Caenorhabditis elegans: one gene and its partners. The protein of the gene in region 2 purifies or fractionates together with the protein of the main gene of each other region. This does not show direct contact. Each region holds a gene or a part of one and is shown on either strand. Other genes may lie near its edges.

Region 1 (7,087 bases), on a different chromosome or scaffold from region 2:
AGCTCAAACATATTGATTCTTATTTAATTGGTTCTGAAAATTTAGAAAAATGTGGATTTAATTTTAAGAACTAACTAGACTAAATGAAGATTCATTATTTTTTTTATGTAGATCTAAATTTGTTTGTTTCATTTTTCGAATGTTAGTTCTAATTGGTATATGCATACTTTTTTTTTCTTTTTTTTTACATTCCAGAAATTCAAATCCCTGCTTAATTGTATTTTTTTGTAGGTAATATGTCGTCACCAACTCCAAAACATGAACCACAAGAGAATGACAGTTCTCTTCCGGATGAATCGATGGAAGTAGATGGACCGGAAGACTTATCCGTGAAGAAAGAAGTCCAGGAAGCAGTAAAAACGGAAGAAGCTGGTAGTTCACCAAAAGCGACAACTACAACTGACGGCGAGGTTCCTGAGAAAGATTCCGCCGATGAGAATGCCGAGAAAAATCAAGTTGACTCAATGGAAAACCCTAAAACTGAAGAAGGCATTGTGACTGCTGATGAGAAAGTTGACAGTTCTGATGATAACAAAAATGCTCAAAAAACGGATGGAGAGAAGTCACAGGTTGCTGAAGATGTGGCGGATGCAGAGGTGACTGAGAAAATTGGGTCTGGAGTAAATGATGAACTGGAAAACGTCGAAGAGGCTGAAAAGGAAGTGAAAAAGGAAGGTGATGACGAGGAAAGTGGAGCTCAAGATCCTGCTGTGATTCAGTTGAGAAAAGAAATTGCGGTAAGTGTTCACAAATGTTTAAATAAAATTTTAATACATTTTGAGTAGTGAAATGTCATGTATTACCATAATAATTATTAATTAAATGTCTAAAAAACCAAATTGAAAAGAAAATATTCTGGAAAAATTGTAATAATACGTAGTTTAAATTCTTTAAGTTCAACTAAAATTTCCAATTTCTTAAATTTTTAACCGTAGTGAAAATTGCTACCTTTTCCTAAGGTCTCATTACGGAATTAGTTAATCTTAAGTATTTTAGAGTAGACGCGGAATTTCTGAAGTTTTTTAAAGAATACTTTATGACCTACTTTCTGTTTCGTTCTGTGTAATTTTTCTCATTTTTGAAAACTTTCAGGCAGCCATCAACACTTACCAAAAACAGTTTGACGATCTCAATCTTACTCAGCGAATCGCCCAACCAGGTATCTCGGAATACACGCAAATGGTTATCACAAAAAAGTTGAACGCCAGTACAGCTCATATTGATGGTTATAAAGGGAAAATTGCAATGGCCAACACTGTCGAGCAGCTACAGGTGGGAGTTTGCATTAATTGAGATTTGTAATAAACTAAATAAAAAACTTGTGCCTTTTCAGAATCTGTTGACAGAAATCAACCAGCAAATCCGTCGTGCCCGTCAATCCGCAGAAATCAATGCAATGCTAGGACCCCCATTTTGAAATATTCCATGTGATAGATCTCAATTTTGTTTTGAACACGTTTTTTAAAAAATGTTTCTGAAAATGTTCCCGATTATTCTTTCTTCAAGCGTGAACGATTTTTGTTTACGTACCCCAATGACCGTTTTGTATTTACAACATTTTTTGAACTTTATCAATTTTGACTTTGCAATAAAATCTTATGTCTTTTGGCTATTTATTTTAGTAGAAAAAATTAGGAAAATCTTCAGAAATCATCCGTCAATTGTTCGGCAATTTTCACCGGCAATTTTCAACATTCGGAAAATTTTTGAACACTTTCTCGGTTGTTTGAAGTTAATTAGAAGTTATTTTCAAGTAAAGAAAATATTTTTCTATATTGTATCATTAAATTTTTATGAAAAGTATCGGTGGAACATGCCCAACCGTCTCAACTTGTAGAATTTGGCAAAACTCTGGAAGACTTTCAGAGTCAGTCCTTACTTTTTCTTTACTTTTTTTTTACTTTTTATTTTCTTTTTATTTTCTTTTCACTCTTTACTAGCTGGTTTGTCAATAAAATTCTAGACTCATCAACTGTATATTTTCCCGCCCCAAAAAAGTTGGCGTTCCCATCTTGAGGCGATTGCGTAATAGAAATCAAAATAACAATGCGTTCGAGAGCATACTGAGAGAGAGCGGAGACGTAGAGAAAGAGAGACACAGTGAGGAGGGACGGTTTCAGCGTTGATGAGTCATTTGGCCTTTTTGATGAGATTTGACCCCCGCCAAAAAAGTGTGTGACCTCCGCTCACTTGCTGCCTGTGTCTCGATGCCGCGCGTTGCGACGTCGTTGCGCATCCATTTTTAGTTTCATAATCTTGCATGCTCTCTTTCGCAACAACGTTTTCCAATTTCCGATTAAGTTTTTTTTCTAACTTTTGATATTAGTGCTAAATAGATACTGAATCTAACTACTGCGTTGACTTTCTTGTTTCTCTCTTCTCGTTTTCCACAAACAGCTCAAATGTTTAAGAATTGTCGTCAGTACTTTATGTTTCTAAGCCTTAGTAATCCGAACATATATTCAAAGTTTGCCGTTCGCTTTCTGCGTCTCGTTCTCTCTCGTTAACACTGTCCGCATTGGCCACCTATCACTTGGACCGTCGTTTGCAATTATTGATTTTCCAGATTGCGATTCTAAGCCAAATTCAATTTTGCATCTCTCTTTTCTTTATACTCTTTCTGTATCTTTTCTTGCCAATAATCTACATTTTTCAGGTCACCGCTCTCTGTACACAATACAGGATGGCTTACCAACACTGTCCGTTTGATACTTTATTGGTAGGTTCAGCTCAAAATTGTGTGCATCTAAAATATCAATTTCAATTTCAGATTCTCGACTTTGAGACAACATCCGATGCTGCTAATCAAGATTACCCGTGCGAAGTCATTCAGTTCGCGATCGTTGCCTATGATGTCCCAAATGATAAAATTGTGAGAAATTTTGCCGTTTAAAAATATTTAATAATAGTTAATTTTCAGCGTGAGGACATTAGTTTCAACAAGTACGTCAAACCTGTTCTCAATCGGACTTTGACAAAGAACTGTGTCGATTTTACCGGTACGTTTTTATAGTTTGGTTATTTTTATAAATATACATAATACAATAAAGTTTTCAGGAATCCCGCAACGTTCCATTGACACCGCCGACACCTTTGATGTGGTCTACGAGCAGTTCCAGCAGTGGCTCATCACGCTTGGATTGGAAGAAGGAAAGTTCGCTTTCGTCTGTGACAGTCGTCAGGATTTGTGGCGTATTGCTCAGTATCAGATGAAACTGTCCAATATCCAAATGCCAGCTTTCTTCCGTCAGTACATCAATTTGTACAAGATTTTCACGAATGAGATGGATCGAATGGGCCCCAAAGAGCTTTCTGCGACGGTGAGTTCAATTGCAAATAGTTTTTAAAAAAATGTATGATATAAATAATCTTTTCAGACCAACATCGGCAAGATGAACGAATACTACGATCTGCCAACCATCGGACGTGCTCATGATGCCATGGATGACTGTCTGAATATTGCTACTATTCTCCAGCGAATGATTAACATGGGCGCAAAAGTTACTGTGAACGAGCTGCTGACCTGTTGTGCTTCGGTAAGTTTCGATCAATGTTGAAGATCATCTTACAGCCTTTTTATTATCTTCAACTAATATTATGCCAGTGCCCACACTGACCAATCCAAAATTAGATAAAGACCTAGTAGTCCCGCACTGGCTTTTTGAAAAACTAACCGAACATTGTAGATCAATTTGTAAAAGCGTCAATTTTTAGGGAAAAATCACATTAATGCGTGTAGAGCCGATGAAGAAAAATGAATAATTTTCAAAGGATTTTTATACTAAAACAAACTAGTATTGTAGTCTCTGTAAATTTTGCACCCCTAGGTGAATTAAAGACGGAGCACCGAAACTTGACACTATTTTTTCACCCAAAACGGCCTAAAACAACAGGCTTTTTGTAACGAGACGTGCAGAATTTTTTTTCAAAAACATACTTATTTTAGGCTAAAATCACAAATTTTGCCAGATTTAAGCCTCATTTTTATCAAATTATCATGCTTCAATATATATTCTCGTAATTTATTACTCGTTTGTTAGTTGATTTAAATTCATGCTCGGTTGATGGGAACACAAAACTGTATCATATTCGTGTCCCCATAGACCGAAAATGTATTTAAATCAACTAATTAACTTGCAACAAATTACGAAAATATTTAACAAAAAGTGATAATCAAATAAAAAATTCCTTCTGCAAGTTGTGGCTTTGTCAATTTGTCCTTATTTGAGCTCTTCGGTGAAAATAAATAATTTCCCTCCACTCAAAAGTATTAACCTGTAGTTTTGGCCATTTTGCGTCCAAAAAGCGAATTCTCCGATTTTGGTGCTCCCACTTCAAAAATTAGTCTGACGTTAAAAATATCAAAACCACTGTTTTCGAAACTGGTGTATAATTTTATTTTCCTTACAGTGGCGCAGACAACCGCTGGTCTACAACAAAGAATGGAGAAGCAGCTTCATGGACGCTGGAAAGATTTTCGAAAGAGTCCTGCCACTTGTCGTGACTACAATTCGCGCAGGCGACTTTCGTCTCGAGATGTACGGAGTCTGCCGCTATTGCCGCAAAGGAATGGATGTGTGTGGAACAAGTCATCAGCAGACACCACATGATCTCTACAAAAATGAGGAGGATCCTATCCACTTTGCCAAAATTGCCGGTTACTACTAGAATCCGTGAACATCATCAATTTAATACCAAGTTTTTTTTTTCAAATCGCATCTCTTCATTACTTGTCCTTGTACTTGTTACTTGTGATAAGGAATTTTTTCCAAGCTCTCCGTGTACTCTGAAACGAGTTTTTATTCAGATTTTTACGGTATTTGCCCATCACGGGTTTTCTCATGTCATTACGTTTTTTGACTTTTGAATTATCACAAATTTTTATATTAATATAAACTCTTAATTATCAATTCTTCAGAAACTGATTTAAAAAAGTGTATAAATAGACGTGCCAAATATTGCCAGAAAAGCGTCGTCAACTCCGTATTGTCTTTCACCACATTCCAGTATCTTCTTACACTTTTAAAATGAGACGAAAATGTGGTTTTTTTTAATATATCTATTCTCTATTTTTGCAAAACTTTTTTAAAAATAGATGTTTCTGTCCCTTTCTATTTAACAGTTGCTATTGATAATCCGATTTATTTGATTTTCTCGAATGATAAGAAATTAAAACAATTTTGAAACTTTTTCTGCCGACTGTTGCTCCTGCTTGCATGCTGACCCGCTCTGTGTTTGTACAAGTCATTTAGCGAGCCCACGGCAAAGATATATATTTTTTGTTAGCTCATTCACCCCCTGCAAAAAAAGCTTATCTGTTGATTTTTGAAAACTAACTGTCTGCACTTTGTGAAGTAAGAATGGCTTGTGACTCAGTTTTATTTGAAAGTTTGAAATTTTTTCTGGATTTTTTTTAAATTAACAAACTATTTGAGAACTAGTGTTTCTAATATATTGCTCATAGCATATCCTATACCTTTTACTAAAATTTTTTGAAGCTCTCGAGTTTAGAATCTGTTTGCTAATTCAAAGATGGAGTAGCACCAGCGGTGCCGAAATGAACAAAATAGCTTTTTTTCAGAAGTATGTGACAGTGCAAAAGTTTTCCCAAAACTTGGAAAAATTCAGTGATTGCAGCTTTTTGAAAAAAAAACTTTAAAAGCTGTTTTGAAAAGTTTTACTCTACATGAGTCTATCACACTTTTTTCCACATTTTAAAATAATATTCCGACTCCAGTTCCCTAGGGCTTCACAAGTACATTGTAAGCTGTAAATAAGCACAATTTTTTTATTATTCAAATAAAATTTTTATTAAGTTTTTATTTTTTTTATTTCACACTGTCAAGTGTGTAGATTAATCGGCAATTTGTTCATCACTTTTTCATCTACTCGTGAGCTTTGAACATCGAGTTTCAAGTTACAAGTTTGTTTCTGCTTCTGTTTCTGCACTAGAGCTTGTCACAAACTTTTCTTGTTTTTTGTTTTCTTCACACCAACCAAATTAAATGGATTTCTCATTATTTCGCATGCCATCACTTTTCCCTTATTTTCTGCTTGCCCGTGTTGCAATAAACCTGCAATGCAATTCTTCGTGCAACTTTTGCTCTCGCTTGACCTTGGTATTAGTTATCTGTGAATAGTAAATATATGAATTATGAATTATGAAACGTGACAATTGAACGTGTTAATTATCACGTTTCAGAGGGAAAAATGGCCAGCAAGTCGGTCAGTGTATCTCTTCATTGTTTACTCAATTAAAAAAAAAGAAACAGAGTGCGAGTTCTTTACTCTCAAAGTCTAAAAGCTAACATCCGGAATAAAAAAGAAGAAAGAAGAGCAGTTTAACACAACAATTTCCCACAAGTTTCCTTTTTCTCCGTCTAGCTTCTTAAACATGAGAGGATGTTTCTTGACCACCAAAAACTTTTTTCACCACAACGCCCGCCACCACCCACCTTCATGCAAATCATGGCGGAAGCCTCGTCTTTTGATTTCCTTTTCATTTGGGTCCGCATTTACGAGAAAGATATCATTCCCTGAATCATTCATTCAGACTGCTTCCTCATTTTTTTCTCCTTTCAAGGTTTAATTTTCTAAATGTGCTGCTTTGTGTGTCTACTTTTCTTGATTTCACCCTTAAAGCCAAATCCATTCTTGTAAAGTTTGATCAAAGCAGACATTACCCCCATTGTATAAATTATGTATATACTGGTAGAGTGCAATTCTAGACATTCACCAGACATGCTGGGGCAACTCTCACCCTTAAAAATTAGATTCCTTTGATCTCTTATTCAATGGATACCTAACACAACACAACTCGTTTATATATTCAACAAATAAAAACTCCTATGGGCCAAGTTATCAATTTGATGTGTTTCCTTGTTTGTAATATTTCCTGGTAGAATTTTAGAATTCAGTGAAACATGGAATTCAAAGATCTTGTTAATAGTATGTAGACCAACTTTTAATTTTTAATTTGATAATCCACTCAACTATGCTCTTGTTTCCTTTTTTACGAAGATCCACATTTTATAGCGACAAAAGTGATGTGTGTTCTAGTTCACTTTAACATGTTTCTAGTATTTAA
Region 2 (7,269 bases):
GTCTACAGTAACCGGGGCTTAAAGGCGCACGCTTCAAAATGATTAAAAACCTTTTGAAATTCCAGATGAGCGGAAGAGGACGTGGTGGCGGATCTTCGAACACTATGCGTAGTGTCGCCAACGCGTTGGGAATCGCTCGATACGATATGGCGAAAATGATGTCACAGCAGAAGAATGAGCCGCCACAGTTGTATCCGGTACGGGCTGTGGAGCACCGGAATAAGAATTTGAAATTTTTTGAAAAAAAATCTGGAAAAATTGAATAAAAAACCATAATTTTATCACCCAATTTTGCGACTTTTCCGTCAAAGTGTCAAAGTGTCTGGTCTCGACACGGCAATTTTTTATTAGTTCAGAAAAGGTGTGCGCCTTTAAAGATTACTGTAGCTTCAAACTTTCGTTTCTGCGGAATTTTTATCGATTTTTTTCTCTCGATTTGTAAACATTTTATTGTTTTTATTACTCTAATATTTCAGTTTGTTAATAAATATATTTTTATCGAAAAACTAAGAAAAATATATGAAAATTGCGTAAAAAGTTTGAAATTACAGTACTCTTTAAAGGCGCACACCTTTTTGCATTTAACAAGTTTGTCGTGTCGAGACCGGGTACCGTAGTTTTAGCAGAAATTTCTCGTTTTTTCGAATTCCTTCCAGAATCCAAAAAAAAAGAAGCCAATTCTTCAACTGAACTAGTCCTAAATTTACTTGAAATCTTTGAAAATCAGTATTTTAATGAAATTTGTATTTTTCAGAAAGTGCAACATGACCCCGTTCCACTTGAAATGACGACTGACATGCTCTACGTATCCCGTTTAAAAGTTGAACTTGATCAACGAATGCGTGATTCACAGTTCTTTATTGAAGCAGAGAAAGACGACGAAATTAAGCGTTATTTGGATAAATATTCGAATATTAAGAGGGAAAAGCTTAGCATTGGTACGGAAATCTAGGTGAAATTGTGTCTCAATTTCAGAAAAAACAAAAAAAAAATTTGAAAATTCAACTTTTTGGCTAAATGAGAAGAGCGGCCAATCAGCGATTTGCTCCGCCCATTTTTCAACCAATCAGATGGAATGGGCGGAGTTGGAAGATGCTGATTGGTCGGAGAGTTCGAGGAAATTAGCCAAAAAAAGATTGAATTTTTCTATTTTCTGTAGCGCTTTTTCTGAATTTAAGGCGATTTTTTAACCTTTTCAAATTCATAAAATCCATTTTAGATATGTCCCATATGCCGAATGAGCTCATTTGGCGCCGAGCTAGCTCGAAATCCAAGGAATCTTTGGCAAAACGACGAAAAGTCGCCAATGACGATTCGATGATCAAGGAGAAGTTGAAAAAATTGGAAGAAAAAGAAGCACAGAATAAGGATGATGATGATGACGATGAGAAGGCTGATAATGATGTAATAGATATTTTAATTTCAGATTTTTGACATTTTATATGGGACAGGGCATTTTTTAGCACTTTTTTTTCAGAAAAAATCGAAAAATAATTTTCAGAAAAATCGAAGTAAATAAGTAGAAGAAATGCACGGAAAATGACGAGAAAACTAAAAATCGAAATTTTTCGTTTTTTCGAGAAAAATAATCAAATTTTCAATAATTTCGGGTTATTCCTCATGAATTGCAAAAAAAAAATATTTTCTCATCAAAATTGGCATATCTTTTGATGAATCTAGAGTTTTCTCGTCCCTTTATTTCTGAAAATAAAATTTAATTTTAGTTGAAACATTTGGAAAACTGCTCAAAAAATGTTCGAAAGTTGGAAATTTCTAATTTTCAGACGATTTTTGAGTGGTTTTTCAATTGTTTCAACTAAAATAGGAGCTATTTTCAGATAAATCACTACATTTTAATGAAAATAATTGGAAAAAAATCATATCTTAATTTCAGAAAGACTCTGGCAGTGAAAAATCCGCGGCAGAAGAGGAGGAGAATCCATTATCAGATGATGACAATCAGGAGGAGGATAACGATTACATCTCGGCTTACTTTGATAATGGAGAAGGATATGGGGACGGCGGTAGCGATGATAATTTGGATGCCGATGATATTTAAAGAATCTCCGGACACTTTTTTTGTTGTTTTTGTTGTTTTTCTCTCAATTTTTGAATATCATTGTTAAATATATGAATTTATTTATTGATTTTCCCTTAAATTTAACCCTTTTATTCGTTATTAGCTTCAGATTTAACCAATTGGTTCAGAAAATCGGTTTTTTCAAGGAAAAAAGTGTCCAAATAATGATTACGCAATCGCGCTCCATGGACAACTAATTGAACGCACCGTTTTCCCGCCAAATTGAACGCAGCTCCGATATTTTTTATCCTTTCTTGGGGTTTTTTATAGTGAGAAACACAATTTTAAGCAAATATTTTATTGTTTTTAATCAATTTTAAACGAAAAATATATTAGAATTGTTAATTTATCGTTTCGCAATCTCATACTCATCTTATTTTCTCGAAATCTTGGAGAATATCGGGGGTTTTTCGTTTTTTACGTCAGGAAAGTGCGGCGAAATCCGTATAAATTCGGTGAAATTTCATGAATTTGACTGATATCGTTCGGTAAAACCTAAAAAACCCTATTTAATTGGAGAACAAAAAGGAAAATCGTGTTTTTTTTTCGAAATTCGCTGTAATTCGTTTCCTACCCCCGTTTTCCACTCAAAAATCCACAAACTTCCCAATTTCAGAATATTTCAGATATAAATTCACAAGGACTAACCCCACACCGCTATGGGAATTAAAGGACTCTCCCAAGTGATTGCTGATAATGCTCCCTCCGCGATTAAAGTCAACGAGATGAAGGCGTTCTTCGGAAGAACAGTACGGGAATTTTTTCCTTAGATTTGCAAAATTGAAGGTTCAAAAATTCGAAAAAATAATTTTTTAAAGCGAAAATCTCCAATTTCGTCTACTTTTCTGTGCGCCGCAGTCTGATTTTCATATTTTAAAATATTTTAGTCGTTTATCTCCTGCTATTTTGTTGATTAATGATTTATCGGTTCGACGCGATAAATCAGAAAAATTTGAAGATTTTCAGCTCTAAAATTGGCTCATTTTTACATAATTTTGAACATTTTGAAGAAATTTCCGGGTAAATGTCTTAAATTTCGACGAGTTTTGAGTCTTTACAAGCAAAAAAACAAAAAAAAATGTTTTTTTTTCAGGTAGCAATCGACGCATCAATGTGCCTCTACCAATTCCTCATTGCTGTTCGTCAAGATGGTTCCCAGCTTCAAAGTGAAGATGGAGAAACCACAAGTCACTTGATGGGAATGCTGAATCGTACGGTTCGAATGTTCGAGAACGGAGTGAAGCCTGTCTACGTTTTCGACGGAAAACCACCGGATATGAAGGGTGGAGAGCTTGAAAAACGTTCCGAGCGTCGTGCTGAAGCAGAAAAAGCGCTGACTGAGGCCAAGGAGAAGGGAGATGTTAAGGAAGCGGAGAAGTTCGAGAGAAGACTCGTAAAAGTCACAAAACAACAGAACGACGAGGCGAAGCGTTTGCTGGGATTAATGGGAATTCCAGTTGTCGAGGCTCCATGCGAGGCAGAAGCTCAGTGTGCTCATCTCGTGAAAGCTGGAAAAGTATTCGGAACTGTCACTGAGGATATGGACGCGCTGACCTTCGGCTCCACGGTTCTTCTCAGACATTTCCTGGCTCCAGTCGCCAAGAAAATCCCGATCAAGGAGTTCAATCTTTCTTTGGCTCTCGAAGAAATGAAGCTAAGCGTTGAGGAATTTATTGATTTGTGTATTCTTCTCGGCTGTGACTATTGTGGAACTATTCGAGGCGTCGGGCCTAAGAAGGCTGTTGAGCTGATCAGACAGCACAAGAATATTGAGACGATTCTTGAGAATATCGATCAAAATGTTCGTCGTTCGTAAAATGCCTATTTTATTATAAACGCGCTCCACGGCAAATAAATGCCCCGAACCATGGGTCTCGTTAGGTACTTGCCGGTGAAATCATAAATTCGAATTTTTCACTTAGTTTTGCCTTTTTTTTTAAATTAATTTTGGCATGAAAATCAATGGAAACAACTAAAAAAGCCGAAAAATTCAATAAAAAATTAGCAAATTTTGAACTTACGGTTTTGCCGCCAAATAGCTAACGAGGCCCATTATGCGTGCAAGCGTAATTTTTCGAGAAAAAAAAAATCGAATTTCCAATATTTTCCTGTCATTTTTCAATTTATTGGAGAAAAATTATTTTATTTTTCTCATCAAACTTTAAAAAAAGCTATATTGTTTCTCCTAAAGATTTATTATTGAAAAAATTATGAATTTGTTCGTTTTTCGATTTTTTCTCTGAAAAAAACTCGAAAAATTGAAAAAAAATAAATCGAAAGTTTTCAATGTTTTTTGTGAAAAAACTGACAAAAAAAAGCGGAAATTTTCAGTTTTGTCTAAAAAAATCGAAAAATTTCAATTTCCTACTAGAAAAAACCGAAAAATGGAAAATTTTCTTTTTTCTCTTAAAAAAAATCGAAAAATTTCACTTTCCTTCTAGAAAAAAACCGAAAAATCGGAATTTTTTAAACAACACTTTTGGCTCGAAAGCGGAGCCTTTTGAATTAGCAGTGGAGCGCGTTAACACATCGATTTCAAATTGGATTTTTCTGCGGATCTATAATATATCTAATTTCTAAAAAAAATTCCAGAAATACCCACCACCAGAGGATTGGCCATACAAGCGTGCTCGTGAGCTTTTCCTCAATCCAGAAGTGACAAAACCGGAAGAAGTTGAACTGACATGGAAGGAAGCCGATGTCGAAGGTGTCATTCAGTTCTTGTGCGGAGAGAAGAACTTCAAGTTTGTCCCCATGAACCTCATGAACTTCATCTAATTTTTCTTTCATTTCCAGTGAGGAGCGCATCCGAAACGCGTTGGCAAAACTGAAGACTAGCCGTAAATCTGGAACACAAGGACGAATTGACTCGTTCTTCGGAAACTCGACCAAGGTTACATGTGTGACAGCTGCGACAAAACGAAAGGCGGAGGAAGCTGAGAAGGCGAAGAAGGGAGCAAAGAAGGGTGGACCACCGAAGAAGAGAGCCAAGTAGCTCACACTAACTATTCAATTTCTTATTTGATTTTTGTGAAATATTGATTGAAACGAAATAAGGTTTTTATTTACCTTTATCCTTTTTTTAATGGAACACACAAAGCTAAGAAAACAATAAAAAATTTGGAAATTTTCAATTCCGTCAATTTGCCGATTTGCCCAACACCCATTTGCTGGAAGTTTTCAGGGTTTTTTATAAGACTGACCAATTTGGGAAATTTGAATTTTTCAATTCCGGGAATTTGACGATTTGCCGGAAAAAAATTTTGCGGCTTACCTCTGATGCATACTATTACGGGAACACTAAATTCTGAGAATGCGTATTGCACAACACATCTGACGCGCAAAATGTCTCGTAGCGAAAACTACAGTAATTCTTTAAATGATTACTGTAGCACTGTGTCGATTTACGGGATCTCGATTCTTGGCATGAATTAGTAAAATTATTATTTATGGATTGAATATTAAAATTTAGCGAAAAATGACGAAATAATACAAGAAACGGAGGAAAATTATAAATCGCTATCGATATTCAAAAAGAAATTATAAAACATTCCGAAAATCGAGCGCGTAAATCGACACAAACCGTACAGTAGTCTTTAAAAGAATTACTGTAGTTTTCGCTACGAGATATTTTGCGCGTCAAATATGTTGCGCTATCCGCATTCTTAGAATTTTGTGTTCCCGTAATAACAATACTGCGAGGTTCCTGATGGACACATCACACATTATCTGTACATTGATTTATGATGTCCCACGGGGTTCTGGCCGCTCCATTGACAATCGCCCAAAAAAATAGATTGACATACCAAAAAATAGATTGATATACCAAAAAATAGATTGACATACCAAAAAATAGATTGACATACCAAAAAATAGATTGACATACCAAAAAATAGATTGACATACCAAAAAATAGATTGACATACCAAAAAATAGATTGACATACCAAAAAATAGATTGACATACCAAAAAATAGATTGACATACCAAAAAATAGATTGACATACCAAAAAATAGATTGACATACCAAAAAATAGATTGGCATACCAAAAAATAGATTGACATACCAAAAAATAGATTGATATACCAAAAAATAGATTGATATACCAAAAAATAGATTGACATACCAAAAAATAGATTGACATACCAAAAAATAGATTGATATACCAAAAAATAGATTGACATACCAAAAAATAGATTGACATACCAAAAAATAGATTGACATACCAAAAAATAGATTGACATACCAAAAAATAGATTGACATACCAAAAAATAGATTGACATACCAAAAAATAGATTGACATACCAAAAAATAGATTGACATACCAAAAAATAGATTGACATACCAAAAAATAGATTGACATACCAAAAAATAGATTGATATACCAAAAAATAGATTGACATACCAAAAAATAGATTGACATACCAAAAAATAGATTGACATACCAAAAAATAGATTGACATACCAAAAAATAGATTGACATACCAAAAAATAGATTGGTATACCAAAAAATAGATTGATATACCAAAAAATAGATTGACATACCAAAAAATAGATTGACATACCAAAAAATAGATTGACATACCAAAAAATAGATTGACATACCAAAAAATAGATTGACATACCAAAAAATAGATTGACATACCAAAAAATAGATTGACATACCAAAAAATAGATTGACATACCAAAAAATAGATTGGTATACCAAAAAATAGATTGGCATACCAAAAAATAGATTGACATACCAAAAAATAGATTGACATACCAAAAAATAGATTGACATACCAAAAAATAGATTGACATACCAAAAAATAGATTGACATACCAAAAAATAGATTGACATACCAAAAAATAGATTGACATACCAAAAAATAGATTGACATACCAAAAAATAGATTGACATACCAAAAAATAGATTGACATACCAAAAAATAGATTGATATACCAAAAAATAGATTGACATACCAAAAAATAGATTGACATACCAAAAAATAGATTGACATACCAAAAAATAGATTGACATACCAAAAAATAGATTGACATACCAAAAAATAGATTGGTATACCAAAAAATAGATTGGCATACCAAAAAATAGATTGACATACCAAAAAATAGATTGACATACCAAAAAATAGATTGATATACCAAAAAATAGATTGACATACCAAAAAATAGATTGACATACCAA
Region 3 (10,261 bases), on a different chromosome or scaffold from region 2:
AATTCGTGATTTTTCCCTAATTTAGCTGGAAATTTCTATGTAAACTTCCCACGGATTTGTCAATTGGGGGTTTTTCGATTAAAAACGCTAAAAATGCGAATTTCGCAACAAAAAGAGAAAATGCGCCGAAATTTCTGTAAATTTGGATTCAGGAACTGAGAAATAAGAAGAAATAAGAAAGAGGCCAAGCGCCGCCGAAAGCTTATCGATTTTTGCGTGCCCCAAAAGAGGAGTGGTCCCCGAGAGCGCGCGGCGAGAGATGCAAGAGACGCAGAGAATTTTAAAGGAATCAAAAACCCCTTTTTTATATATTTAAAAAAATCAATGTTTTTTTTTTCATTTAAAACTTTGCATTTTAAGAACAAATTTTAGTTTTAGAGTGAAAAATCTCGTATTCTTGAGTTTTCTCCAAATAATTTTGAGCTCCAATTGATTTTTAAATGTTCTTTCAGCCTTGGTGCATGAATTAATCGGTATAATCGCGGAAAATTGAAGAGAAATTCACTTAAATTTCAACTTATTTATTAATCTCTGGTCATGGGAGAAAAAAAGAAAAATAGAGAAAACGCTAGAAAAACGCGCGCGCTCACCTTGCCGACGCTCGCCCCGCCCACAAAAGCGTGCCTCGTTGCGTTTTCGAATTTAGCAGGGCAGTTGGTTATTATTTCCATTTTCTATCTGTTTCAGGTTCGCAGTTTGTTTTTTGCATTGAATTCTTGATATTTTGAGTTTTACGTTGTATTCTGAAGTATTTCCGTCAGAATTTGTGTTTAAAAATCGTAATTCTCAGGGTTTTCCCGCTGAAATTGAATTTTTCGTCAAAAATCATTTTTTTTAGTGAATCCCAATGTCGTATGGTGACGGGCTCTCCGGAGCCGAGTACCTGGCCTCAATCTATGGTACTGAGAAGGATAAAGTCAATTGCTCGTTTTTCTTCAAGGTTTGTTGTGGATTTCTGTGAAAAAATTCAATAATTAAATAATTTTTGCAGACAGGAGCCTGCCGCCACGGAGACAAATGCTCCAGAGCCCATCATACACCGACATTCTCGCCAACAGTTGTGCTCAAAAACTTCTACCACAATCCGGTAGTGGATGTCCGTCAGGCGGATGCTTTCGATAAAGTCGGCAAGCGGAATGATCAGGAACAGCGCTATTTTGACGATTTCTACGAGGAGGTTTTTGTGGAGATGGAGCGAAAATATGGAGAAGTGGAGGAGATCAACGTTTGTGAGAATATCGGAGAACACATGGTCGGAAACGTATACGTCAAATTTATGAAGGAAGAGGACGCCGAGAAAGCAAAGAATGATTTGAATAATCGATGGTGCGTAAGCTGAAGCTGCTGTGTTGATAGGGCTCAAGCTGAGCTCAAGTGCTGTGAAGAGAACGTGCCACTGTACTTTGCCCATCGGAAGGGCATTGAAATGGAGATATACCTGGCACAGGGGCCATCTGAGCACTTTGGCGAGCTAGCCCGTATCATTTTTGCTAATTTAGCTGGAAATTTGTGCAAGAAATCTGCGAAAATGATGAGAAATCACAAATTCTGAGCCGCTCCCGTCGGCCATTTCGTTAAAATGGACCGCGACGCAGCTGGCGAGCGGGGCGGCTCAAAACATTTAATTTTTTGACCAGAAATCGTGATTTTCCATCTTTTTTCATGTCAACTGCAAAAATGATGGAAAAATCACTAAATCTGGGGCAAAATATAAATTTTTTTGAGCCGCTCCGCATGCCAGTTGCGTCGCGGTCATGGCCGAGGTTCCCTCTCGGCCACCTCTGTAAAATGGACCGCGACGCAGATGGTGAGCGGAGCGGCTCAAAATTTTTATTTTTTGCCCAGAAATCTTGATTTTCCATGTTTTTTTGCTAAATTAGCTGGAAATTTGCACCAAGAATCAGCGAAAATGATGAAAAAACACAAATTCTGGGGCAAAAAAGTATATTTTTTGTCCAGAAATCGTGATTTTTCCGTCTTTTTCCTGATTTAGCTGGAAATTTTTATGCTAAATGCAAAAATTATGAAAATTTTCTGTAAAATTATCGATTTTTAAAATATTTTTCGCTTTCAGGTTCAACGGACAACCAATCTACGCAGAGTTGTGCCCTGTCACCGACTTCCGCGAGTCTAGATGCCGTCAACACGAAGTTACAACCTGCTCGAAAGGAGGATTCTGCAATTTCATGCACTTGAAGGCAATTTCCGCCGAACTTGGAGATCGTCTGTATGGTAGACGTGGACGACGAGCCGACGCAGCTGGACATTATCCATCACAACGTGGAGGTTCCGGAGGCGGCGGTGGAGGTGGTGGCGGCGGTGGCTATGGAAGCGGTGGAGGATGGGGTGGCGGCGGTGGCGGCAGAGATCGTGATCGTGGAGGATGGGGTGGAGGCGGCGGAGGTCGTGGATATGGAGGTGGCGGTGGCGGTGGAGGCTACGGATATGGAGGTGGAGGCGGTGGAAGACGCCGCAGTCGAAGCCGTGATCGAAGACGATATTAATCTCTCTTGTTCTTTTTTTTTTACCTTTTTTCTTCTGTATCTTATCTCATATAATTCCAATAATTCTGCTCTTTTTTCTCTATCTCTCTCTTTTTTATTGCAAAAAAAACCATTTTTATTTCCTTCTTTTTGTAGTTTTTTCGCCAAAAAATGGTTCTGTTCAGCCATCTTTTTTACCTATTCATTTAATTTTCTACAAATCCACCTGCAAACTGCTCAGAAATCCCAGATGAACACGAATTTTCCACACAATCGGAAAAGAACGCTCTACGTCGGAGGTTTCACCGAGGATGTCACTGAAAAAGTGTTGATGGCCGCGTTCATTCCGTTTGGAGACGTCGTTGCCATCTCGATTCCGATGGATTACGAGTCGGGAAAGCATCGTGGCTTCGGATTCGTCGAATTCGATATGGCTGAGGATGCGGCGATGGCGATTGATAATATGAACGAGAGCGAGCTGTTCGGAAAGACTATTCGGTTAGGGATTGGCTCTGGAAACCAAGAAAATAGTCCTAAATAAAGTGGAATTCTTGCGTAGTCTACTACGTAAAGTGAAACTCCAGCGCAAATCGCAGTTTTTCGTAGTTTGACACCAGGAAATTTAAATTAATTTTCAATTTTAAACGTAGCAACGATGCTCCGAAATAACGCACGCGCATGTTATTTCGGAGCATCTTTTAAAATTAAGATTTAATTTTAATTTTGTTTTCAAAATTTTCCTAGTTTTCAGGTTTAATCTTTGTGATTTTTCATATTTTTTTAAAGATATTTTTACAAGTTTTTCAATAAAACCTGTGAAAAAAACATTTTTTATAATTTTAAAATTGCTATTTTCAGTGTCAACTTTGCTCGTCCACCAAAAGCCACCGAACGCTCACAGAAACCTGTCTGGGCAGACGACGAATGGCTCAAAAAGTATGGAAGAGGTGGAGAAGCTGCTGCGGAAGAAGACGGAGACGCTGAAAAAGCCGCCACGTCATCGTCGTCAGCCTCGACGAAGCTTCCACGTGTCTATCTGGGAGTGAAGATTGGAATTCGATATATTGGACGAATAGTGATCGAGTTAAGAACTGACGTTACACCGAAAACTGCCGAAAACTTCAGATGTTTGTGCACAGGAGAACGAGGATTCGGTTATGAAGGATCGATATTTCATCGGATTATTCCAAAATTTATGCTTCAAGGCGGTGACTTTACGAAAGGAGACGGAACCGGCGGGAAGTCGATCTATGGAACGAAATTTGATGATGAGAATTTCACGGTTAGGCACAAATTTTGATGAGCGGTATACTAGAAAAAATACTGTAAAAAATCGCATTTTCACAACGTTATTTGGTAATTATGCCAATAATTCGTGCTAAACATCAAATTTTCTGTAGAAAATGTGCCAAAATATGCGAAATTTTTGAAAAAATAACGAAACGAGATAAAAAATTTATTGATTTTTGGCAAAAAAAAAATCAATAGTTCTATTCAAATGCATCTCGTTTCAGAAGAAGAACGATCTGAAATTGTTCTCTATTTTATATCATGACACTACTACCAAAATTTATTTATCGATCCTTAAAATTTGCAAAAAATTTTGTTGCACAGAAAGTGGGACGGAGCTACGCAAAATTTTTCTCTTCTTTTCGAATTGGATAACATTTTCATTCGAAAAATCGAGAAAAATACAAGTAAAATTGAAATTATATTGCGGGGAAATACCTCATGCGGCAGTGTTGTGAAGCTACGCTCCGCCCCACTTTCTGTGCGACAAATTTTTTTGCAAAATTCAAGGATCGATAACCAAATTTACAGTACCTCTAGAAATTCCTGAAGAACTCCAAATTTGAATGGGGCCCATTGCAAAATTGTATTGTGCTTTGATAAAATAAAATCCAACGCTGCAATCTTCTCAAGAAAAGGGCTCGCCGGATCCATGGCTCTGAGGGCCTTTTCAATTGGGATAATATCAATGTCCGGAATTTCGGCTGTCAAGTTCTTGAGCGGATTAGTGTATCCTTTCAATGATTTAGCTCTCCACACATCAATTCTTGAAATATAAGCTTTTGCTTGACTTATTGCTGTCTCTAAGGAAGAAATATCTTCATGTCCCTTGACCTGACTAATCAGTGGCTCCAAGTCCACTAGACTATAGACACTTTGAACTACACTCTGAGATATGCCAATTTCATCGGTTTGATTCAACATCTGCGACATCTCATTCATTCTCAATGTCACCGGACTCGCAACTTCTCTCATTTTCTCTGGAATTGTTTTCACTGTAGAGAGTTCGTGTGAAAATTTGGATACCAATGGAGCAATCTGTTGAACATTTTGCAAATCTGCTCTCATAAACGCTTGAATCAATGGAACCATACGGATAACAGCTTCCGAGTTGTTTTTCAACTTTTTCAAGCAATTGTGAACTTCCAATTCGGAAGATATCTTGTCCTTGAATTCTTGGCTTTTCAGTTTTTCTTCAATAGCTTTACTCAAATTTTGAAAAATGAAAATCTCTTTATAGTCGATTGCTTTGATGCGGTCTCTGAGTTCATTTACTGTGATCAGGAATTTCGGGACACTTTTAGTTTCTAGAAAACGTTTCAGTGTTTCATTAACAAAACTTTGATTGTTTTTTAATAGTTGGAGAGAGTTAGAGTCCAGGAATTTGTTAAACTTTTTCTCAAATGTGAAACGATCGATAACATTATCCAGGTAATTCGAAAACAAGGTAACGTTACGCAAAAATTCGACATAAACTTTATCGGGAGACACAGCCGGATGCAAACGATAGCATGCTTCAAGCTTCTTCAGTACATCTGCAGAGTTTTCAATGTCAAGTGGAACTGATGAAAGTAGATTCTTCAAGTGTTCAAACCCATCAGAAATCAGAGAGTTTCCAGAGATAGCTGCCAACTCCTCATCAAACTTTTCAAGCATTTTATGGGCAATTTGTAGAGGCTTAAAGCTATCTGCCAGTTGGTTCAACAATGTTCTGTTAGCTCTCAGAATTCTTCCCAGCCAAGGATCTCCGAGCCGTTTAGAATCGACTCGTGGAAATTCTCTTTGTGCATCATTTTTGAGCTTTGTCACTCTTTGGACGTCTTCCTCAGAATCGTTTCTCTTCTTCGAAAGCTTGACCATTTGTAAGATGCTACTGCTCAAAATATCTCCTTTCTCATCTGTTTCTAACATATGAATCTCATTTCGATCATTCATCAACTTGAACATTTCTCGTAGTGGCTTAAACGTCGATTCTATTGATTTGTTCATTCCTTCAAGGTATTCAACATGTCGTACGCTCGAGACTTTGAGCATTATACTACCTAATTTTTCCAACAAAAATTGAGGACTCATTGTACGCTCGGTAATATTGAACGGCACATTCAAGCCCTCTTCAAGCCACTGCAGCATTTCGCCGATGTATTCAAGCATGTCGACTATGAAACGATGCCCATTGTCAGTGGAATCCTTGACATCTATAGCTAAGTCACGAAGAGTGTCAAAAAACTTATATTTTCCATGTAGTTCCAAAGTATTTCCATCAAATTTCAATTCATCAATGAACGTATTATACTTGATTAGTTGGCTCTCCACTTTCAATACTTCTTGCTCAGATCCCATTGATGTAGCCTTCAGATCATCAATCAATTTGAGAATATTTTCAGATTTGAAATTGGAAATATCAGAATTTCTATAGCTATTCAAAATTCCATCAATTGCAATAGTCTCATTCATTAATCCAGCTTGAAATTGAATTCCTTTTGGAAGTTGAGCAACTGTCGAGATACGGTCGATGTATTTTGATGGGAAGTACGGTGCTGAAATTTTTGAAATTTTTCAAGAATTTAATTTAGAAACGGTTGGAAACTGAAACACGGATATTTGTGGCTCAAAATCCACAGAGCTGATCTTTCCAGTTTTTATTGTACCAAAAAAAGAACCCAGAGGTGTTATACTCATTGTACAGTAGAGCGCCCTTTTATGGACGTAGCTTTTGCCGCCCCGTCACAGAGCGGTTTTTACTACGTGGCCGTAAAATAAGAAAACTCGGTGGCCTTCATAACATGGGTTCGGAACATTTTCTCAAAAATCGCCACGGTGGAACTATAATCCCAGATAAATCATTGGCCGAGTTTTGATTTTTCTAGGCCACGTAGTAAAAGCCGCTCTGTGCCGTGTTCAAAATGGTCACGTTTTGCAGAAAATTTTCTTATTTTTGTCATCAATTTTTTTTTTCACAAATTTTGAACAAATGTCATCAAATCGTACACCGTCACGCCAGTTTTGCTCAGTTTTGAGCCATTTTTCGTTTACTTCTTATTAATTGTATTCCGAAAAAAAAACAACTTTCTTATAAGAAATTGCCGAATCTCCGTTGTCTCCGAAAACTGTTGTCAAACTATACCCACGTTTTGCACAAAATTTGCTTATTTTTGTCATTCTTTCCCCGAAAAAATCCCACGTTTTTCTTTTCAACATTAGAAGAAAAAATTATAAAATTGTGTGCCGAGTACGTGCAGATTGCATCGAATTTCCCCCAACATATTCGCCAAAAAACCCGTATTTATACCTGGTGGAGAGAGCAATACATCCGGTACAAATGTGAAATTGGCGGGATGACTTGAAATTTGAATTGTTAGAGCTGAAAATATCAATAAAAAATCTGAAAATTACGAAATAAAAAACCCACCGATAAGGAAAACTACAAGAACTTTCATTTTGACGCCGATTGTGTTGAAAAATCGATGAGTTATCGGTTTTTTGAAGTTCAAATGTTCGAAATAAATGTTTTTAAATTGGGAAATTAACTTTTTTTTTTTTTTTTTAACTAGTTTTTTAAAAATTTTCACGTGCCCCAGAGTTTAAAAAAATTGGAATTCCTGTGTCAACTAACACTTAAATTGTAATTTTCTGAGTATTGGTGCAAACATAGGAAAAATTTCAAAATTGCAACTATTTTAAGCCAATTTTGACTCAAAAACTCTCCATCCAAAACCGCAGAAAAGTCAAAATTTTCCTTTTTTAATCTAAAATTTTTGCCATTCTTTATCCAGAGTCGAAAATTGTCCGTTTGAGACCGATTTTGCACTTAAAATTTCGGATTTGAATGCATTTTTATCAGTTTTTGCATTAAAAACCCATATTTTCCACCTAAAAACTCTTAAAATTCCGAAATTTTCCGTTTTTAACCAAAATTGCAACAATTACTAGCCAATTTTCACTCAAAAGCTCGAATTTTCCATCACAAACCGCTGAAAATTCGAGAATTTTCCTTTTTTATCCGATTTTTGATCTTAAATTCCAAATTGTTTTTCCATTCTCTTTCAAAAACCGCTCCAAATTTGAAAATTGTCTGTTTTAGACCGATTTTGCATCTAAAATTCCGTATTTTAAGCATTTTTTCACCTAAAAGCTCTAAAAATCTGAAAATTTCCAGCTCCGCCACACAATGCCCGGCACAGTTTCAATGGCGAACTGCGGTGCGAACACAAATGGCTCACAATTCTTCATTTGCACCGAGAAAACCGATTGGCTTGACGGAAAACACGTAGTGTTCGGTCATGTTGTTGAAGGAATGAATATTGTACGACAAGTCGAACAGCAAGGAACTCCGTCTGGCAAACCTCAGATGGTTGTGAAAATCGTGGAAAGCGGGGAAATTGAGCCGGAAAAACGGATTGCCGCCGAAAAATTGGCCCAGAAGGCAGTTGTTCCGGGAGCCGAGATTCAGGAGCCGCTTCCGCAGGCTATGGAGACTTAATTTATTGAATTTTAAAATTTATATGTTTTATTTTCAAAAAGAATTGTTTTAATTTATTTTCCTTTTTTTTTCCAATTTTCGTTCAGCGTCTCTCAAATCGCTATTATTTCTCTATTTTTCTTTGTATTTCCCTCTCAAAATCAACCACCCTACAGATGTCGAAAACTGGTGGAAACACGGAGCCAATGCCATTCATCCGGAAATGGGGCAACGAAGCTGGCGAAGATTTGGGAGCTGCCCCCAGTGCAACAGCAGCTCCACCACCAGCACTTGTTGTGCCAACAATTTCCTCCATGTCGTCTGGTGATAATAGTGAGTTTTTGTGTCGAAAATGGAAATTTTGTACATTTTTTGTATCGAAAAATAACAAAAAATCTATATTTTTTAAAATTTTTCGACGTTTTTTGAGTCTTGAAACTTGAAAATGCACTATTTTTGTTTTTTTAATCGAAAAATCAGAAAAAGTCGTATTTTTTTGAAAATTTCGGCAATTTTTCCCCATTCCATCGTTTTAGACAATTTTGAGTAAAAAACCTAGTAATCTATCATTTTTGTATTTTATGTCAAAAAAGGTGGAAAAATACAATATTCTTGTATTTTCGTCATTTTTTGAGTCGAAAAATTAGAAAAATTAATGGATTTTTCGATATAACAGCGAAAGTTTAAAAAAAGTCACATTTTCGCTATTTTTTGGCGATTTTGAAGGCTTTCTTTGTCGAAAAGTTGCAAAAAAAAATTGTAAAAAATGCAGAAAAACATGGAAAAAACTCAATAAAATTAAATACTCTGAATTTCCCCATATTTCAGAATCGCCATCTCGTTCGGAATCGGTGTCTGATCGAAAAAGGGACCGATCACGTTCTCGTGATCGTGACCGCAAGAAGGATCGAAAGAAGAAGGATCGTTCACGTGAACGAGATCGTGAACGCCGATCCTCTCGTTCCCGTTCTCGATCTCCTCGAGATAGAGATCGTGAACGTCGTCGTCGGCGGTCTCGATCACCACCACCTCGTCGTCGAAGCCGAAGCGGTGGAGATCGTCGGCGTAGAGAACGATCACCTCCGTCAATGGTTCCGAATAGTCCGCAACGAGTTAAAGAACCTGTGATAAATCCATTGATTCGGGAAGATTTGGCTGCGGCTGTTGAAAGTGGAGCAGTACCTGTTGAAGCTGTACAAGCTGGTGCAGTTGTTGCGTTGAATCCCGCCAAAAAGTGAGATTTTGGCGTTTTTTTTTTTGATCTGAAATGGCCAAAACTACCAAATTGTTCTTAAAATATCAAATTTTCCCAAAATTATCGTCTTTTTTTGAATATTTAAATCCATTTTCGTTTTTTTAATGTGATTTTTCAGTTTAATTTTCAAAATTTTTGAACATTTTAATTTATTTTAAGCCTAATTTTGCATTGAAAATCCCAAAAAAAAAAACACAAAAACTGAAAAATCCTCGCGATTTTGGATAAATTCCATCCAAAATGAGAACCGCGACCAATCAGCGACTCGCGCCGCCCACTTTTCAACCAATCAGCGTCGATAGTGGGCAGGGCGAGTCGCGGAGTTGTCATTTTGGATGAAATTTACAGAAATTGAAAAAAAATCACCTTTTTTTTTTGGTTTTTTTTTTTGGAATTTAATTCAATTTTAGATTTTTTTTTAAATTCAATTTTTTTGCGATTAATCCGGATTAATCCCGCCAAAAAAATGAGATTTTGGCGATTTTTTGGACCCGAAATGGCCAAACTATCAAATTGTTGTTTCAAACGGTCAATTTTGTGGAAAATTGCGCATTGTCAGCTTAAAATTTCAATTTTTGCCAAAATTATCGTTCTTTATTGCATATTTTGGTCCATTTTCGTTGGTTTATGTGATTTTTCAGGTGAAGGGCGCCTCCTAAAAAGACGATTAAACGACCAAAAGCATACAATAAAATGTGAAAGGCCGATATTTCGAGGAAATTTCAAGATTTTGGGGCATTTTAAGCCTAATTTTGCTTTGAAAATCTCTCTCAG
Region 4 (6,578 bases), 970 kb from region 2:
TGAAATTATCGATTTTGAGTCGAAATGCAAAAGATTCCCGGTAATGTTCAAACGAGCTGTTTGCATTCATTCTTCACTTCAATTCGTTGATCTATTCATGCAAAACCTCATGTTCTCGTGAGTTTTCTTTTCGTAATATATTCAACATCAATTTTTTTTTCAATTCAGACACGGTTTCTCCTCCACGCCAATAATTGCACGTCAGGAAGATGAAACTGAAGTTTTATCGAAAACTATGCTTTCTTTTTATAAGGTAAGATTTTATTCCTATATATATTTTTTAACATTTAATTTTGCAGATCCGCAACGAATTTCGCGAAATATTTCGTTCCCATCATCGAGGCAACGTTTCGGAAGTGGCCATTTTCATTGGCACCTGCCCCGTCCGATCTACATACTCTTATCGTATGTTATCGAAAAAATTCTTAATTCTAAGTTTTTTAGAAATATAAATCTTGTGTTTCAGGCGTTCCAATAACGATATGTGAAGCCGAAGACTCGACGCACAAGAGCTGTGGTGATACGTGTGCCGAATTAAACGACTTTGAACGAAGAAAAATCAATCGAGATCTGTTCATGCATAGTTGCTCGAAGGAGCAACAGAGCAATGAAACGAACAAAACGAATAAGAATCATCGGCTTTTTGTCTTTATCAAAGGATCCGAGGATATGGTCAACGAGGAAATTGAAGAGGAGTTAGTTCACGAATTCCCACCGAATTTTTTTTTCTTATTTTTCTTTTTCAGAGACCCTCCATTCGGCTCAAAGCAATCGTTCCACTACTCATTCATCCACGAAAAATGCAATTGCGATGGGGTTCCAGCACCAAGAAATGATGGAAAATGGCTCAGAATGGTGCCATACATTGTGCACTCTAAGCATTAATTCTAACCTATTATATTTTGAAAATTAAATTTTGAATTATTTTGTAATTTGATCTCGTTGTGTTCATCATCTCTCTGTCTCATTTGTGATCAACAGCTTTCCAATAAATTCCCGGGGTCAATTTATGTTCTCGTCCAATCAGGTTCATTTCCCGAATTATTATATTTCCTTTTTTTGGAGAAATTCTAGAAAATTAGTGAAACAGGAGTATATATATTTGCAGATGCTTCACAAAATTCTGTTTCTAATTTGTCTTGCATCATTTATTCCGACAATTGGATCCATTTCCGGAACGTAGGTTTCAGAAAATAGCCCTCAAAAGCCGAATTTCATAACGAGAAACTTCGAAAAAAAAAATTAATTATGGTGGTTAATTTCAGCCAAAACCTCAAATTTCTCCAACTTTCCCGTGTTGCAACGGTCAGAAATTGATTTTTCTTTGATTTGTATATAATTTTGCTTGTTTTTCTTAATTTTCTCACATTATTTTGTGGATTTAAGTGGTTTTAAAGCTTATATCAAACCAAATAACGGGAGAAATTTAAAAAAAAACGATAATAAAAAAATCGATTACCGATCGCTGCGATTCGGAAAAATAGCAAAATTGGAGGTTTTACCTGAAATTATGCTTTTTTTTTGAAATTTTGTTAAAAATGAAATAAATTTAGTTTCTTTTTTTTTCAGAAAAGACGTTAAATCCAAGAATTGTGATGGATCTGCAGGCCTTACGTGCACATTTCCCGGTGATTGCCGAATCGGAGACACTGTAAAAGTGAATTGTACTTCACGGAAAGGTTGCCCGAATCCTGTCAGCAGAAATAATGTCGAAGCGGTGTGTCGGTTTTGTTGGCAACTTCTACCTGGGGATTATGATTGCGAGCCAGCGACAAATTGCTCCACGAGTAGTACAAAGCTTCTCGTGACAAAGTGCTCGGTGAGCAATTTCTTTAATTTAATATCTGTTTTAAAATACCTAATTTTCAAAAAAAAATTGAATTTTCAGGCTCACAGCTCAGTAATATGTATGGGACAACGTAATTTCTACAAGCGAATTCCATGTAACTGGTCATCTGGATACAGTTGGACAAAAACAATGATTCTCTCAGTTGTGCTCGGCGGTTTTGGAGCTGATCGTTTCTACTTGGGACTCTGGAAATCTGCAATTGGAAAACTTTTCAGTTTCGGTGGTCTTGGTGTGTGGACTCTTGTGGACGTTGTTCTGATCGCAGTTGGATACATTAAACCTTACGATGGATCCATGTATATTTGATTTTTTTTTTAATTTTCTTTTCCAATTTGTGTAAATACTTCCTGTAATAAGCTTAAGCTTCGGGTGATTTCTGATACTCTTGTTATTCTCCTTATTTTCGTCTTTTTGAAATTGCCATTTTTCCATTAAAAGTAATAAATATTTCTACAAAATTCGATTGTAAACTGTTTGAATATGAAGTAGATTATTACTCAAAAATATCTTTTTTACATGAATTTTCAGTTTTTCTATTTTTCTTTTCCAAATTTTCCAATTTTAATTTCCAGCCGAAATATGATCGGCAAGGTGGCTGGAACCGCGGCAATCGCTGGAATATCTTTCCTCGCTGGAAAATATTCGAATGACGATCTGCCAATCTTCAGGAATGTTCAATCAGCCACCAATGTTCCAATGGTTTAATAAAAATCTTCTAGAATCCTGAAAAATGCCGCTTTTGCAGAATCAAATCCAAGTTTCGGAGCCAATGACCGTAAAACCAGCATCTCTAAATGCTGATGCAATGGGACCATCTCGTTCGGCAGAGATCATGAAGCACGGATATCCCGGATTCACAAATGTTCGAACTTATGAGGATTTCGTGCTTTCCTACGATTATAAGACAAGAACTGCACACTGGGTTAGTAGAAAATTATGAGAAAATATATTTCAAAAATCTATACCGGACGCCAAGTTTTAGCGCCAAAAATACGGTACCCAGCAGGGCTACTGCAAAAATAAATCTTCCACCAAAAAAAAATTTGTTTCATTTTTGCTGAATCAGTGTTGTAATTTATTTTTTGGTTTTTTGTCCCGAAAAAACCAAAAATTTTTTTTTTCCAAAAACAAAGGCAGCTTTGGTCTCGACATGCCTTTTGTTTTTGTATAAAACAAATGGGTGTGCGCCTTTAAAAAGTACTGTCATTTCAAACTATCATAATTTTTATTTTTAGTATTTTATTTTAAAAAATATTTATTTATTTAAAAAAACACATTAATTTTAACAATCGTGAAAAAAAACTATAAAAATCAATGAATATTCCACAACAACGAAACTTTGAACCTACCGTACTATTTAAAGGTGCACACCTTTCTACATTAAAAAATTGTCGTGTCGAGACCGGTTTTAATAAAAAATTGAATTTCCAGGTCTGCGAACATCTTACACCAGAACGATTAAAACACGCAGAAGGTGTGGATCGGAAGCTTTGTGAATTCAAGCCAGATATCACTTTCCCGCAGAAATTCCTTTCTCAAAATACGGATTATAAGGTTAGTTCTTCGTAATTATTACATAAAAAATATTTCTGAACCATCCAATGTTTCAGTGCAGTGGATTCGATCGTGGACATCTCGCCGCCGCTGGAAATCATCGGAAGAGTCAGTTGGCGGTCGATCAAACTTTTTATTTGAGCAATATGAGCCCACAAGTTGGACGAGGATTCAATCGCGATAAGTGGAATGATTTGGAAATGCACTGCAGGTTGGTAAAATAAATAAAGTTTTTTGCCGGGAAAAAAACGCGAAAAATGTGAAATAATTTTTTTTCTCGTCGACGAAGTTTTTCGCAAAAACACGTAACTCTAAAGAATTTTGTTTTTTGAAAAATTAATACAATTTGAAACTTTTGGAAAATTTTTTTGAGAAAAAAAAACGAAAAATCTACAGCCCAGTCTGAAACCAGCTGGTACCAAGATTTTTCTTTACAATACTAAAAATAATTTTCTACAATTTCCAGAAGAGTCGCAAAAAAGATGATCAACTCCTACATAATCACCGGTCCCCTCTACCTTCCAAAACTTGAAGGAGATGGAAAAAAGTATATCAAGTATCAAGTTATCGGTGATAATAACGTTGCAGTGCCAACTCATTTCTTCAAAGTTGCTCTTTTCGAAGTGACACCCGGCAAATTCGAGCTGGAATCCTATATTTTGCCAAACGCAGTCATCGAGGATACTGTAGAAATTTCCAAGTTCCATGTTCCATTGGATGCTGTGGAGAGAAGTGCGGGTCTTGAGATTTTCGCTCGTTTGGACCCTAAGAGCATTGTGAAAGAGAACGGAGCAAAGAAGGGAGGATTACTTTGGTGATTGATTGGATTGTGATTCCGGTGAATTTTAGGTTTAGGTTGTTTTGTTTTTGTTTCACAAATAAATTTTTTGTTAACTTTTTTGATTTACTGATTGAAAAAACTTGAAAACTCAATTAAAAAGAACAATACCAATAGAAATTTTAAAATCTTAACTTACTATTAGTCAACAACAAAAATTCATCCGAAATAGGGGAAGGTGGAAAAGGATACCAGAAAGGAATTTCATACGGCAAAAAAATTTGGATGAAAAACAATATCCCTATATTGAAAGTGAGACATTATTTTATGTCACTAGTTTTATGTAATATGAAATTCCTTTCACCGAGAGAAAAATATTTTAGAAAAGAAAAAGTAAATTAAAGGGAACAGGGAGGAAACAAAAACACGAGTATATTTGGGAATCTTAACGAGTCGATGAGACAGAGCTCAAAGTTCTGTCTTTTGTTCCGGCGACTTTCTCCTCAGCAACAGCTTCAGCGATGAACATTTTCGTGATATTTTCGCTGGTCACAGTCTTCGAGAAGTCAGCGAGAGCGTTGGTGTCAAAACTGGCGAGAAGCTCATCCAAAAGTCCATTTCTTGTTTGGAGTTGTGGAGCCTTGATTCTCTTGATGTCATCCATTGGAATTGTTGGATCACCACGGGCCACACGTGATTCGTTCTCCTGTTGCTGAAATTGGAAAAATATAAATTTTTAATGATAGAGATTTTTTTTTCGAAAATCGTGAATGGCACCTTTATTCCACCGAAAATGTACCCCTCACATCCGGTTTTATAGTTAGTGGAGCCTCGATATGTTGGAAAATGGTTTTCAAAAAACAAGACTTTAGGTTTGAAAGCCGTTACACTTCGGAATATAAATTTTAGCGATACAATCAGGATATTTTTAATTTCAAAATTCGAAATTCTTACTCTTTTCTGCGTCAGACTGAACACCATATTATCATGTCTTTGCTTGTCAATAGTGTACTTCGTCAACGACTGAATTGACTTGTTCAGCTCATCAACATTAGCCATCATAGCTCGGACCGACTTTTCAAGCGACTTCTTGGATCCCAAATCGAAGTGTCTCGTGGAGTACTTGTCAGAAGAGCATGATTTAGCGAGTGAAAGCTCAGACATGAGAACATTGTTGAGATATGAGGATTTGATGATGATTGGCAACTCCTCGAACATGTTCTGGTATGTCAAACCAGCGGCTTTCACCCTGAAAAGATATGTCTTTGCAAATATATTTTTAAACTCAAAAACCATACAATTCTGGTCTCCAGTCATTCTTTGAAGCGAGATCAAGAGCAGCGGTGGAAAGACGCCAGGCTCTTAGAGAAAGCTGTCCTTGGCGAGTCTTGATTGGATCTGAAAGCAATTAGAATTAATTATTTATCCTCATTAATCTGTCTAACCATAAATAAGAACAACATTTTCTGGGCCCATAGCCTGGTAATCGAACATAGATTCTACGAGATCGTGTGAGAAACCGGCTCCGAATTGATGAGACTGATAGAATCCAACGATTTCGTAATCGATATTCATTGTACGGAATTTGCGGAGCATGTCAAGCATCTCGTGTTGCTTTTGCTCTTCGTATTGTTGAGCGGCCTATAATAGAAAATATATTGGAATCACTAGCATGAGCTAATTTTACATTAGCATCGTCATCCATAACTGGCTCGTTGCGAACTGTTGGGAAGCAATTGGTGATTTCCAAGCGAGAATCTTCAAGGAAAACAAGACCGGTGAGAACTCCGGCACAAGCGTCTCCAGATACCTGTAAATTACATGTTAAGCTTGAAATTAAATTAAAATAATATACCTCACTAATTCCTGCATGAAGTTCACTGTCCACGTGCTTCACAATTTTCATAACCACAAGCGAATCCAAAAGGATATGCTTGACGCTCGGAGCGGTAATTGTCACTGCTGTCGACATTTTTGATAACCCTGAAAGATGAGCATTTAGTTTTTCAAATTTTCTAAAGAACAATAAACAATAACATGCATCTCACAAGAGGAAAAATCAATAATCTAAGCATCACGAATTTTTCGAAAGAAAATTAAAAATATAAATTTCAGAAAATTGGCGAGAAAAACCTCAAAATAATCAATAAAATCTTGAAAATAGGAAACACTCCACGAAATTAATTCCTTCCGTTGTTGTGTGCAACTGCGCGTCAATTGTAGTGCATGCACACAATTGCACACCGTACCCGCGCGTGATCTTTTGATTTGAATTCAAATTTTTGTCGTTCTTTTGTTTTTGGGATTTACTTTTTAAAATGCTTTTTGAAACTTTTTAAGAGAAATTGTATATTTTCAGATGCAATCGAGTGCATCCAACGACCCTAATAAACCTAC

The links.
Region 1: the proteins of crn-1 (region 2) and crn-4 purify together in Caenorhabditis elegans (affinity purification with western blotting; one study listed by BioGRID). This does not show direct contact.
Region 3: the proteins of crn-1 (region 2) and cyn-13 purify together in Caenorhabditis elegans (affinity purification with western blotting; one study listed by BioGRID). This does not show direct contact.
Region 4: the proteins of crn-1 (region 2) and cps-6 purify together in Caenorhabditis elegans (affinity purification with western blotting; 2 studies listed by BioGRID). This does not show direct contact.

Annotation. Positions count from the first base shown.
Region 1 is NC_003284.9:2,253,671-2,260,757, reverse strand, and holds crn-4 (3'-5' exonuclease crn-4), read left to right. Parts: upstream 1-2,656; 5' UTR 2,657-2,683; coding exon 2,684-2,719; intron 2,720-2,770; coding exon 2,771-2,872; intron 2,873-2,920; coding exon 2,921-2,999; intron 3,000-3,057; coding exon 3,058-3,320; intron 3,321-3,377; coding exon 3,378-3,536; intron 3,537-4,410; coding exon 4,411-4,668; 3' UTR 4,669-4,910; downstream 4,911-7,087. Other genes in the region: AH9.3 (uncharacterized protein), read left to right, coding at 237-737, 1,093-1,272, 1,334-1,417. UniProt on the Caenorhabditis elegans protein: Possesses 3'->5' exoribonuclease activity in digestion of DNA and RNA. Cleaves nucleic acid substrates with efficiencies in the following order: single-stranded RNA (ssRNA) > double-stranded DNA (dsDNA) > single-stranded DNA (ssDNA).
Region 2 is NC_003279.8:3,479,291-3,486,559, forward strand, and holds crn-1 (Flap endonuclease 1), read left to right. Parts: upstream 1-2,706; 5' UTR 2,707-2,739; coding exon 2,740-2,829; intron 2,830-3,173; coding exon 3,174-3,881; intron 3,882-4,672; coding exon 4,673-4,824; intron 4,825-4,876; coding exon 4,877-5,075; 3' UTR 5,076-5,210; downstream 5,211-7,269. Other genes in the region: Y47G6A.9 (DNA-directed RNA polymerase III subunit), read left to right, coding at 66-197, 755-938, 1,220-1,404, 1,895-2,059. UniProt on the Caenorhabditis elegans protein: Structure-specific nuclease with 5'-flap endonuclease and 5'-3' exonuclease activities involved in DNA replication and repair.
Region 3 is NC_003282.8:17,109,130-17,119,390, reverse strand, and holds cyn-13 (Peptidyl-prolyl cis-trans isomerase E), read left to right. Parts: upstream 1-2,733; coding exon 2,734-2,981; intron 2,982-3,341; coding exon 3,342-3,765; intron 3,766-3,924; exon of another isoform or gene 3,925-3,973; coding exon of another isoform or gene 3,974-4,009; intron 4,010-4,307; coding exon of another isoform or gene 4,308-6,310; intron 6,311-7,062; coding exon of another isoform or gene 7,063-7,134; intron 7,135-7,182; coding exon of another isoform or gene 7,183-7,210; exon of another isoform or gene 7,211-7,278; intron 7,279-7,929; coding exon 7,930-8,253; 3' UTR 8,254-8,310; downstream 8,311-10,261. Other genes in the region: uaf-2 (Splicing factor U2AF 35 kDa subunit), read left to right, coding at 848-940, 992-1,326, 2,075-2,504; Y116A8C.33 (uncharacterized protein), read right to left, coding at 3,974-4,009, 4,308-6,310, 7,063-7,134, 7,183-7,210; sfa-1 (Branchpoint-bridging protein), read left to right, coding at 8,409-8,565, 9,061-9,466.
Region 4 is NC_003279.8:4,444,305-4,450,882, reverse strand, and holds cps-6 (Endonuclease G, mitochondrial), read left to right. Parts: upstream 1-2,421; 5' UTR 2,422-2,428; coding exon 2,429-2,548; intron 2,549-2,594; coding exon 2,595-2,771; intron 2,772-3,280; coding exon 3,281-3,403; intron 3,404-3,459; coding exon 3,460-3,614; intron 3,615-3,869; coding exon 3,870-4,221; 3' UTR 4,222-4,297; downstream 4,298-6,578. Other genes in the region: Protein cmt-1, read left to right, coding at 1-117, 169-253, 300-405, 467-695, 747-885; TM2 domain-containing protein C41D11.9, read left to right, coding at 1,109-1,179, 1,570-1,819, 1,889-2,155; eif-3.H (Eukaryotic translation initiation factor 3 subunit H), read right to left, coding at 4,627-4,893, 5,136-5,430, 5,480-5,579, 5,627-5,822, 5,869-5,991, 6,037-6,153; C41D11.3 (Cysteine/serine-rich nuclear protein N-terminal domain-containing protein), read left to right, coding at 6,541-6,578. UniProt on the Caenorhabditis elegans protein: Endonuclease important for programmed cell death; it mediates apoptotic DNA fragmentation.